3 linked regions of the Daphnia pulex genome follow. The protein of the gene in region 2 purifies or fractionates together with the protein of the main gene of each other region. This does not show direct contact. Links are inferred from orthologs where the notes say so. Each region holds a gene or a part of one and is shown on either strand. Other genes may lie near its edges.

Region 1 (3,171 bases), on a different chromosome or scaffold from region 2:
AAACCGAAACGACCGTTGGAGATTCAAAACAGCTTCGACTGCAATTTACACAACTTGTTTCTTGCTTGTTTAATTTGTCTTTTACATCGTTCAATACAGAATTTTAAATTATTTACACATGAAATTCAGAATTCAAAGTATCTCAAAGTTTCCAATTAAATAAGGCGAGGCGAATAAACTGTGAGAATTACAAATAATGAAGTTCGCCCCGAACACCATTAAAAAAGCGTTCACTTCGATTAAACACATTTGTTTCACAAACGGGTGTTAAATAATAATAGCTGAAATGCTGAATATTCAAGTTTATTTAACCTCAAAATAATTATTTTTACTCGAAGTTCATAAGATAAGTTCAACCGAATTAAACAATTTTTGCTGAACAGAAGAACATAGACGTATATCTTTGAATTGACCCTTTGCGTTAGTAGGAACATTTTTTCTTAAAAACAAATTTAGAATAAGGCTTTCGTTAAATGCATTGCATTTTAAATCAATGCATTTTCAGTTTTTCTAAAAGGACTGTCAAAAAGGCTGAGATTTTCCTATTTTTAAAAGATGGCCTGTGGTTCCTTCCTTACGATAAGAAATAAAGTGTAAATATCGAAAATTAGAAAAAACACATTGGTGAAGTTTATTGATTTAAATATCGCAACATTTCACAGCTTCAAGACTTCAGCTAGCCCACCAAGAGAGCAAACCTAATCCTGATTCATTGATAGATGCCTATAATTGCAAATAAACAAAACATTAAAGTTTTACACATGAAAGTAAAAGAAATTTAACTATAGTAATGTTTCGGATTTCAAATTACGCACATTTATGCGATACGACAACCTTTTATTGTCTTTTATTGGATCTAGAGATGAGTCAGGTGCTTCATTACTGGGGCCAGAAGGTGTTGTATCAATGAAATACTCAGCAACTACTTTAAATCGGATTTCTTCACCTAAAAGAATACAATTACAATCAACACAAAAAGATAATTATCATAAAATTATGCTGTTATCTGTTTTTTTATAAACCTGTATCCATGAAAAGGTCATGTTTTCCATCTTCTGTTTGATATTCCCAAATCCAAAGATGTTCAGTTTCATCAAATCTGGAGTTTTTTTGCAAGTTCTCAGAAGAAATGAAGATGTCCTCAAAGAATCCCAAAGAAACTTGATGCAAATTTTTGATTATGCACAACTGTTAATAACAAATGAATAATCTTCAGTTACCTTGGACTGATTCCTTATCACAGTTTTTGATTCTACCAACAAGAATCTGCTCCATAAAAGGCCTGAATACTACATAACGAAATTCAACTTTGGTATGATGGCCACCATCACCTGGCAAAATGAAACTTTCTCCTCGTTTAATTATATCCCACAGAGCAATGCACAGTCCAACATCCAGAACTACCTAAATGAGAACAAATATTTTACTAATAAATGCATATGTCAATCATCATAGGAATTTAATTACTTTATTAGCAAACTTTAAGTTCAATTCTTCCGAAATAGCTTGATCAATATCCCGATTGAATTTTTCTGAAGGAACTCTTACAGTCTGCTTGACAAGAGCTAGAACGAACATGGTTTAAACAATTAACTAATAAGCCCAAAGATTTATTTTGATTCAGTGTGGTCCGTCTGTGTGTTTCGTGTTTATTAAGCACGAACAAAGTCGTGAAACACCGGCTAAGCACGTTGTTTCTTTTAACTTCTACACGTGTAATGTCGTCTGCTACTCATGCAAGTGGGCGGGGCCGGGGTTACACTTTAAACCAGCTAGTCCAACTTGGCAACTTCCAACTCAACTCTAGTTCTAAATTCGAAGAATAAAATCTAAAAAATAATTAAATTTTCATTGAAAAATTCCATTAGAAAATGGATAATTTCTTTTAGTCATACTAAGTTTATTCGGCACATCATTGGCATGTTACAGAGTTACACGCTGTTAAATGAATTTGTGAAAAATCGGTTTAATTTTAATGATCATGCCAATAATTCAAGAAACATTAAAAAAGAATAAAACTGTATTTTGAAACGACTCTTTTTAAGGGAAGACTTCACGATTTAAGGCTCCTCTTTTTTAAAACGTTTCCCAGTATCAGTATGATTAGCCTGATCATTGTTTCCGGGGGGAAAGCCATCGTAGTCATGTTGAAAACGACTTATAATATCTTTGATGAAATTATAATTTTTGAGTCCTTTAATCTATATTTAAAAAATATTATTAAAATAGTGAATTAGTAGGACAATTGTGTTAAGTGATGATGAATAAAGTTACATTGACGTTCAAGTTGTAGATTCCGTCATCGTCTTCTGTCGAATCTGTTTGCGCGACCAGAGGAGGAGGAGGAGGAAGAACAGCTCTTCTTTTTTTAATTTTTCCTTTCAACTGGGCCATGGAAGGAAGCTCGATAGGAATCAAGTTTGAAGAGTCTGTTTCGCTGGCAGTGGGATCATGTGAATGCATTTTATCAAATCTTGCTTCTTCAGCCCTAATATCCCGACCGGGACAGCTACATATACGAACATCACAGGCATATCGTCCAAAAACCTCGTATCGTCCTCCACTAGAAGAAGAAATGTAATGTAGGAATGTAGTTTTAATAATTATAAAAATTCTCTCATGGACAACTTACTTTGTCACAGACTCTAATGTAAAGATCAGTTTGGTGGGTCGTCGGTTCAAGCCTCCTTGGCAGCTAGACAGGCACATGAATTTGTAACACAATGACACTGACTGGGTCCCGGGAGCAGGAGGCTTCAGTGGAACGACAACCGAATGCCGCATATCATTGTGATCGACATATGTTGAATCATTGTCATCACAACGCAATACATGTGGAGTATAGGGCAACGGTGGACCAGTCCCCTTGTGGGCTGGGCACCGTTCAACGGGATCTATAGGAAGAAAATTTAAATAAATTGTTAAAAGGATACAGAGAAACGTTTAAATGTTATTATTTGCCTTGAAAGTGATCAGCCTTTGAATACACCATTTGTCCCCGAATGCAATATCTGTGGAATTCCTGTGAAAGGTTATCCATTCTAAAGGAAATTGGGCAGGCCTTATCCATACTAACAAACAGCTTCTTCAGTTTTGTGGAATACTAAGAAAAATAATGTATGTGTCAAATATAACATATAAGGAACTGTGTAAATTTTAAATAGCACAACA
Region 2 (4,418 bases):
GCAATCGACATATTTTACAAAAATTGTTCCTATCTGGCGTGTTATCGAGAATCTGTCATTCGACAAGCAACAATTGGTGGTCAGTTTTTGAGTGCTTATAAACCTGTGCCAACTACGCATTACACTGTTTCTTAATTTTCTACCGATAAGGTGACACAATGACAAAATTGTCAACGAGCCCCATAACGTAAGTTTTGCTTATTTACATGTTTTTTCTTCATTCCCTTGAGGGTGTCTATTTCACAAAGCGCGCCTTTTGCTGTTGCTCTAGATAATTTTTCTTCGACTACAAACGGCTGGTTTTCTTTTTACTGAGTCATTTCTGCAAATACTTATGTTGAAAAATTCTTAGTTATTATTCTCGAACAAAATTTTACAATCCAAGACAATTTCGAGCGACACATGACATGAGTTAGGTTAAGGGATGATCCTTGATTGCTTTCTTGAACATCTTCGACAATTACGCAGCAGTTTCACATCCAAAACCCAAACCCAGACAACGTCAGATTCGTGACACCCAATGTTACAATTCCTTTGATTTAAACTTTAAATAACTTTCCAATATTAGGATTGTTTCGTCTGCCTGGGTTTGTCCTAACGTCAGATTATCACTCATTAAGTGAATTTTTTCCACTAAAGACTTTTCGGCAGGGTGCATCGTATCGGATAACTGTTACAATAGAAAAGTTTCGTAAGTCAAACAGTGGGAGTATTTTAATCAAGAGATTTGCGAAAATGGGAAATACTAACTTCTGCTATTTCCTCTTCGGGAACTCCATCATCTCCTTTTAGACGTTCAAGCATTGATTCCAACATGGCATGTTTTTCAAGCAGGCGTTTGTTTTCTGTCAAGTCGTGCATTTGCCGTACCATAGCGTTAAATAAGCCTTTGTAACTCGCTTCCAGTACTGTCCGGACAACCTGTGCAAGGAAGTATTTTTGCAATTACACAGCATCATATCAAGGTATTTATATTTCGTTCTCACCTGAGGTAAGTCGACGTGGTACAAAATGAAGGATTTGACCGGAGCAAAATTGGAAGTCCCCTTTTTCAGTTCCTTGATTTGTAGAAAGTTGTGTTCCAGCAATTTGTAGGTGAACATTTTGGCTTCCTTGGCCGGAATCATTGCAACATTCTGCATCTGGTCTTGTTCCATAAACTTCTGAATCCGAGTCAGTCTAAGAGTGTGAAACAAGAAGATTTAATGTTTTAGCATATCCTGAACCATTTTTAAAATTTCTGATCCACCTAAAGAGTCGTAAAGCTTTCGATCCAAATCTTTCTAGTACAATCGAGTCCAACGAAGCGCAAGCCAAATTTTCGAAAACTTTCGAATAGTCAAGATTGAATTGACCGCCACCAGCATCGCCCGGTTTGTCAATCAAACCAGCAGAATCCTCGTGCAGCACTCTCAAGTAGTGATCGAAATGTTCCAACAAAATCGGACTACTGTCGTTTTTTCTAACGGCATCCTTAATTACGTTGTAGGATACGGGAGTTGTTGCTGGTGAATCGGGGTTGCTACTTTCGCGCCAGAGCTTGAGGATTAAATGGTATAATTCGCCAGCTGTTGTATCCACTCTTCTGGCAGCAGCATTGACTAGAATCACATTCCTAAAAAACATTTTTTACATACAATAAAAATGGCAATTTAGGGTGGAGATAAATTTATTTCTACCTCAATTCAATGTCAAATCGTTCGTGATTTACACGCCAAATTATTTCGCTGTCGCAATGTCCGCCTAACTGAGTTGCTTTTTCTTTCAGCATTCTGGCTATAGGTTCAATCTCCACGTTTGGAACAGCAAATTTTTCTTTCTCTTCAATTTCAAGTGTGGGCACTTTTAGTAAAGTTGCGTTTTCTGCAAGCTTTGGGCATCTAATGATGAAGTTATCTTGGGCAAGTCTTTGAAAACTTTGATGGAGGGCTGAGGGACTTAAAACTTCACTATCTACAACGAATATAAGTATGGTTACTGTAATTTACAAAAATCAGGGCTGAAAATACCATTAGCTTCATTCAGCCTATTTGCTGAATGGAAAATAACATTGGAAGCACTTGCTTGTCCTAGATTTAGCAAGATCTCTAGCAGAATTTCTTCCGATGTCCCATAAATCCTCTTAATCATGTATAGATACCTGCAAAGTCAACTGTAAAATTTTAAAAGGAAATTACCACTATATAAGAAAAATGTACTTTGGGTATCTAATGAGACAGTAGACATTGTGATGCATCATTGAGTACTCTGCAACATTGTTATTCCGTTCACTTGCTTGGAATTTGACTAGGTTATGTTGAATCATCACAGCCAAAGCTTTCTTAACCTATGAAAAATGCAGAATTTTTAGAAAGTGTATCTTTAATATAGTTAAAATTGATCACACTTCGCGAATGGACAAGCCGGTTGCAGTACGTATGTCGGTCAACATACGATTGCCTCGCCTAAGTAAATAGGATCCGACTTGGCCGACAATTTCTCCATAGTAGTGGTTTAACAACTGGCTGCATACTTGGCTAAAGTGACCTAATGTAAACGATGACATTTTCTCGTTTGATTAGTTATGTTCCTTCGGAATCTAAAGAACATGTGCTCTTCAAACATCCACTAAACTACAACTTTTGAAACAGTATTTCTCAAAATGTTCGTCTGCAGCAAGGTATACTGATACTTCCTGCGTTGCCAAACGATACAAATGCAACCAAAAATTAGAAATCGAATTTTGCGTTTTATAAAAAATTAAACACGTGAACTTCCACTACCTGCGCATTTGAGCGGGGATCTTAGTCCTCAATCAATGAAAGACCTTGATGTGTAAAATTTCATGTTTTTCCCATTAAGTCTAAACAAATCAAAGTACAAGGTCACAGTGGGAACTGGGAAGCAACCCCTTTTTGCGAGGATGAAAAACGGCACGTGGCTATACTACGAACAATCAAAGAATGAGCTCCAAAAAGCCAAAACTGCACACGGTTATACCTTGGTCGAGGTATACTCTTCAAGATTTTACCTTGAAACACTTATAAAACTCGGCTGTGAATGGCCGTCGGACATCGGGAAGAGAATTTGCGTTCACCTTTTAATATTGTGTATGAGGCATTCGGCACGTGAAGTGCATCCCAAAAGGCGCTTGAACCCCAAAATTTTATTAGTGTAAAGTTTAGCGTTTAGGCTACGCTTACAGTGCAAAAGTGTTTTAGTAACAATTTTCCAAGTGTCTTTTATTATTCAAAAATGTGTTTCATCAACAAAATGTGGCAATCATTCGTGTAAAAAAAATGCCGCCTTTCGTATTCGAAAAACAGCCGTTTGGAATAAAATCTAACTTTGATTAATAATAGCGACATTTTCTTCGTAAGTTTTATTGATTTTATAAAAAATGTAATTTTAATTTTGTTTTCGCCAGAGAAAAATTGGATGCATCAGTAAACTGTCTAATTTATAATTTAATTTATGAAGTTTTCCTATCTTTGAACTCATATCTTTTTGTTTTCTCAACGCAGTGCGGTGGTGAGGCCGATCGCCGTGTCTAACTTAAGTGATAGCCGCAAACGCAAGTCTAGTCAAGACGTAGAAGGTGCCTATGAAGGTAGCTGGGCCATGAGACCGAAACCTCCGACGACGACAACACCGCCACCGTCGTCAACACCTTCATCGTCCGAAGAAGCATCTGCGCCTGGATTGGAGGAGGAAAACAAAGACGAAATGTTAAACATTTATTTTTGCATGGTTGACGCCCTGCTCCGATCAGCCGATGAAGAACGACCACTTCATTCCGCTCGTAATGAGCTAAATCAGAAACTAGGCCAATATGACGCAAATAAAAATAAAGATATGCGTCTTCGACTACTTAAACATTTTCAGAGTCAGGGAAAAGAGGCCAGAGATCTAGTGGGTCTTTTTCGCCTTCTTGATGTTATCTTGGACGATCACATGGACCTCGTCGAGATTCCTTGTAGGGACGAGGATGGATGTGAATGTTTTGATAATCGCATTTTGCCGATCATCATCAAGCGCTGCCCGAATCTTGGGAAACTTCACTTCCATTGCTCAAACGGCTTGGTAGGTTTTACGTTTTAGAAGTGACACATAAAATTATGTTTTAAACAAATGATAACTTAAGATATGTACTTATTTTATTAATTATTAGGCGCAAGACTGGCCAGAGACCATTGGTTTTTACATCAGCCAATTTACTTTTCTGACAAGCTTGCATTTAGACAAGGTTCCCATTCAGTGCAAATCCATCATCTCCGTTTTGGGAAAGTCTTGTCCGCGTCTAAAGTCCTTGCGTCTCGGTTTCGATAATTTACCTCTTTCTATCGACGAATTTTTGAGTATATTCTACTGTGGTGATTTGACCCTGCTGAGAAATGTCACTCCAGATGTTCCCTCAATCGAACACGACCAAAACCCGG
Region 3 (4,431 bases), on a different chromosome or scaffold from region 2:
ACACGGATTAACTGTAAGCAGCCAACAACCTGGAATCAGGAAATCAACTTGAAATACAAAAAATAAAAACTAGCACGACAAAATCAAAACTTATCAAATGTAGAGTTGATCGAGTTGTTTTGTATTGCTCGTTTATCGCGCATTGAGAAAGAGGAAAGAAGACGTCGTGCATGGACAGAAATGAAAGCAAATGGCAACTTTCAATTAAAAAACAATTTAGAAAAAAACTTTGAAATAAGAAAAGGCCAAAACTCATGATTAGGATAGCGTTCAAGAAAGTGAAGAATATATTTACCGTTGTAAAGGCAGAAAAAAATCAAAAAGAATTTTTAGATTATACAAAATTTAGAATGAGAAACCTCCTTCGGGGGCTTGAGATGGCGAGTTGTTGAATTCGTAATTGCCACTCTGCGATGTAGATGGCGCCAACTCGGAATCTTCATCCCCCTGTCGAAATAACAAACAAAAACGATTAAATCAAATTCAAGAACACTATTTCAAAATAAAACTAATTTTCTAAAATCTCAGTAATGGTTAAGTTGTCAGCACAAACACTATGAATGTGAACAGTTGTGGTAATCATTGAAATAAACCCAAAAAAAGAAACAATAAAAAAAGAATAAATTACGTCAGTTGAGAAGTACTGCTCCAGAATGGCCAATGACTTGTGATAGATTTCAACATTGTCGTGGCTCTGCAGAGCTTCGATGCGGTCCAGACCACCACACTCTTCGACGTGAAGGGAAACTTTCTCCAATTCACCCATTTTCTCAGCTGCGGCCAAAATATTAGCCAATCCATCCAGCACGACCAAGATGGTCTTGGGTTCCTTTGCCTCCAGCAAAGTGCACAGCGGAGCGATGGCACCAAACTGGCACAACAAGGCGATCTGCTCCACATTGCCACCTGAAATGAATAAGAAAAATCAATTAAAAATCAATAAAACACCAGTAAAAATGAAATAAGTTACCTAAAGTGATGTTGGTGATGGCCCAAGCTGCCTCCTTTTGGCATTTGAAGTCACCTTTGCCCAGCACATCCACCAACGGACGAATAACATTGTTGGTGATGAGAGCCTGAATCTGGATGGCATTGCCGGCAGCAATGTTGGACACGGTCCAGGCAGCCTCCTTGACGATGTTCATCTTAGCATGAACGAGTAACTTGGCCAGCAACGGGCAGGCACCAGCAGCCAGGACGGAATCGGTCTGAATGTCACTTCCTGTAACGATATTCCCGATTGTTCTCAGAGTGGGGGTGATCACGGCCACCTCAACGTGGTCCAGCAAAGCGACCAGCCGTGGGACGACACCGGCGTCGACAACCTCCTGAATCCGTTCGTTGGGGCCATCGGTGAGGTAAGAAAGAGCCCAGCAAGCATCGGCGAGGATCTCTTTGTCGTTGTTGTGGATCAGGTGGGCCAATGCGGGAAGCAGTTGCCGGACGGCAGGGACACTGGGCGGAGGATTCTTGTTACGACACAAGTTGGACAAAGTCCAAGTGACATTACGCAAGAATGTGGCCTATAGATCAAATCAATTAACAACTGCACACGAACGTAAATTTAAAATAAAACTCACCGAAGTATCAGGTTTAATCAAAGTAAGCAGAGGCTTGATAATGCCTTGCTCGATGACGTGATCACGAAGCTCTGGTCCGTCTCCGGCGATGTTACCCAGAGCCCAAACAGCTTGCTCTGCCACAACTGGATGAGGTGACCCCAACAGGGAAATGAAGCCAGCGACAGCCCCAGCACTGACGACAGCCTTTGTCTGGTCAGATGTGCCTGAAGCAATGTTGGTGAGAGCCCAGGCTGACTCAAACTGCAGATCGGGGCTGAAACAAAGAAAGACCATTAGGAAATGTTCAAAAACCAAAAGAGACACTTGACATACTTGCTGACACGACTGAGAAACTCCACCAGCTTCGGAACAACATTTGCATTAATGAGGATGTCAATGGGTGGATTACGTTCCCTGCTGAGGATTTTACGGGCAGCATGGGTTGCAGTGATCTCCTTGTTCTCATCACCACTGTTGATACCTAACGATAATGAAAAACATATGAGAAGCAACTCAGAAATAAAAACTGATGCACACATACCATTGACTATGTCCTCAATGCTCATATTTGCTGCAGCCATCCGATTCTGTTCTTGGAGTGGGCTGAGGGGCTCATCATCGATTTCAAGGTTACGTCTCTTCAACAAATGATCTTCCTTCTTGGCTTTCCGCAACTCAACATTCACCTCTGTACGTCTCCTCCTCATTTCCTGAACAAGAAAGATGAAAAATCTGTTACATTTGAGAACTGACACTAGTTATTTTAAGGTATTTACCTCAACATCTCTGCCTTTGTTCTTGAAGTCCTTCAACCGGCTGGGATTTGCTTCAGTAGGCATTGTGATAGTGTAATTTACTCCAGCTGTCAAAGAAAGAGAATTCTAAAAGGGATTTTCAAATCTGGCACAATGACAAAAGAAAAATGAGAAATGGGACTCGAGACAATGAAGCAACAAAGAGAAAAAATTTCCCGCGCCACGTGCAAAATTTCCCAGACTATGGCAGTCGTTAAAAATGTGTCAATGATGACTCATACCATTATTTCACAATTTGTTATAGTCGAAGCAAGAAGTAAACTATTATTCCACGTGGGAATGTCAGAAAAATTGAAAATTAATAGAGAGAGGAATTACCTGCGGGACTTGTGAGCAAGAATCAATTGATGAATGGTGACCGTTTGATCGCTAAGAGAATTCCAGACGACGAAGAAGAAGAAGGGGGAGGGAATTTCAAACCTAACCGTTGCCTGTTGCCAAATTTATTCATTGATGCAATCGGAATGGGATCAAATCTGGCAACGTATAAGCAGACGAGAAAATTTAAAATTTCAAAATAAGCAGAAAATGAAAAACGCCGATGGAGCTGGTCATAATAGAATTTAACTGAAATTGATAATTGATTTTAATAAGAATTTGTTACCATAGGATTTCTCATTAATTAACCTTCTGACTTAATGATCTGTTGGAAGTCTTTCTTTAAGAACATGATGTATGATGATGTCCAAATGACAGTGTCAGAGATCTCTCCCCTGGTTTAAACAGTTTTCATAAAACTAGCATCAACAATTTTTATGTTGGCAGGAAGAAGTTATACAAATATAGATCCAGTAATCTTGAACATTCAATTTATATAAAACTGTTTTCCAAACTAAAAAAGTGGCAAAAATTTGAATACCAGCCAGTGCCAGCCGATTCCTGAAAGCTTAAACTTTAGACTGCCATCTGGAAGAAAGAAAAGTTTTCTCCCACAACCCAAATTAATTTATACTAAATTTTCAAATATTTTTCAGACCAAATTTTCCATCAGTTGTAAGAGTATCATCCAAAATCAGTGTGAACAGAATCAACAGATAAAGTATGGAAGAAACTTCATTTTAATACATCTTCCTAACGAAATGAGGTAGGCCTAGCTGTGATACCAAACATACAGAATGAAATTTAGATTTACAATGTCTCTTGTCTGATCTCTAAACTTTCTGTAGAAATTAAAACGTTTTAATTGCTTTAAACACTAACAGTTGTGAATTCAAGTTATATATCTTATTTCATTTAATTTATTAAATCAGTGGCAGGCAAATAACTTTTATTTTTAAAAATCAGTTTCATCCGACTGCAAGAGGGGACCGTTTAGCCTTTCGACAAGTTTGATCAACAGAGCGTACCAAATATAGTTCAGTTGGAATCGCTAATTCCGACACAGGTGGTCGTAAAATCCGTGCTGGACAGTGTGCACGTAATACGTTAAACACATTTTTCAGTCTATACGTTTCTTAAAAACTAATCATATTCTGTGATTAGGTCACGTGTGCTAATAGACTCTAAAATTCCTTTTCATTTCCAATTTCCCCACAATTAGTTGCAATCCGCCGGGCAGTTCCAAAAGAAACGGAGAAATCCAACGTGAACAGCTGCAACTCCCGTCATCGGTTCAACTGGATTACAACGACCCTGCAAAGTTGGTGTTGCAGTTGGTGTTTATTCCAACACATTCGTATCACGTCCAATCATTTTCCAGCCCCTCGTAAATTGTCAAGTTTCATTTGAATCCGATAGTTCAACTGGCGCTACTTAAATAATCGACATAGAAAAATGCGGCTCGACTATAAAATGACGACCCACTTGGGCGTTTGAATTCCTAAACCCCCACGTCTGATCTCCTAGATAAAAAATGAAGTTCCTTCCGATTCTCTTCCTTCTGGTTGCCGTCTGCCTGGTTGTCGCCATGGTGAGTTGTTTTGACATTTCTCGTTTAAGTTTCAATCTGTTCCACGTCTCTTTTTTAATTGAACATAATGTGGCGCATTATTATTTGATGATGCACGAAACAGGAGGCCCAAACAACCAAGAAACCAACACCTGCAACGACCACC

What was found.
Region 1: the proteins of DNA-directed RNA polymerase III subunit RPC3-like (region 2) and DNA-directed RNA polymerase III subunit RPC8-like purify together in Homo sapiens (affinity purification with mass spectrometry; 5 studies listed by BioGRID and IntAct, with this or other methods). This does not show direct contact. The link is inferred for Daphnia pulex from reciprocal best matches to the Homo sapiens genes POLR3C and POLR3H.
Region 3: the proteins of DNA-directed RNA polymerase III subunit RPC3-like (region 2) and importin subunit alpha-1-like purify together in Homo sapiens (co-immunoprecipitation; 3 studies listed by BioGRID and IntAct, with this or other methods). This does not show direct contact. The link is inferred for Daphnia pulex from reciprocal best matches to the Homo sapiens genes POLR3C and KPNA2.

What each region holds. Positions count from the first base shown.
Region 1 is NC_060017.1:5,958,828-5,961,998, reverse strand, and holds DNA-directed RNA polymerase III subunit RPC8-like, read right to left. Parts: upstream 1,751-3,171; 5' UTR 1,579-1,750; coding exon 1,468-1,578; intron 1,405-1,467; coding exon 1,221-1,404; intron 1,161-1,220; coding exon 1,023-1,160; intron 947-1,022; coding exon 816-946; intron 724-815; coding exon 673-723; 3' UTR 608-672; downstream 1-607. Other genes in the region: cellular tumor antigen p53-like, read right to left, coding at 2,061-2,201, 2,275-2,563, 2,633-2,894, 2,962-3,103.
Region 2 is NC_060018.1:10,223,314-10,227,731, reverse strand, and holds DNA-directed RNA polymerase III subunit RPC3-like, read right to left. Parts: upstream 2,941-4,418; 5' UTR 2,763-2,940; intron 2,675-2,762; 5' UTR 2,546-2,674; coding exon 2,387-2,545; intron 2,327-2,386; coding exon 2,199-2,326; intron 2,141-2,198; coding exon 2,010-2,140; intron 1,954-2,009; coding exon 1,680-1,953; intron 1,616-1,679; coding exon 1,250-1,615; intron 1,180-1,249; coding exon 987-1,179; intron 922-986; coding exon 751-921; intron 671-750; coding exon 524-670; 3' UTR 335-523; downstream 1-334. Other genes in the region: uncharacterized protein LOC124188665, read left to right, coding at 159-187, 3,504-4,062, 4,151-4,418. UniProt on the Homo sapiens protein: DNA-dependent RNA polymerase catalyzes the transcription of DNA into RNA using the four ribonucleoside triphosphates as substrates.
Region 3 is NC_060028.1:48,947-53,377, forward strand, and holds importin subunit alpha-1-like, read right to left. Parts: upstream 2,849-4,431; 5' UTR 2,696-2,848; intron 2,463-2,695; exon of another isoform or gene 2,425-2,462; 5' UTR 2,402-2,424; coding exon 2,339-2,401; intron 2,273-2,338; coding exon 2,104-2,272; intron 2,044-2,103; coding exon 1,896-2,043; intron 1,837-1,895; coding exon 1,581-1,836; intron 1,524-1,580; coding exon 971-1,523; intron 907-970; coding exon 629-906; intron 448-628; coding exon 346-447; 3' UTR 101-345; downstream 1-100.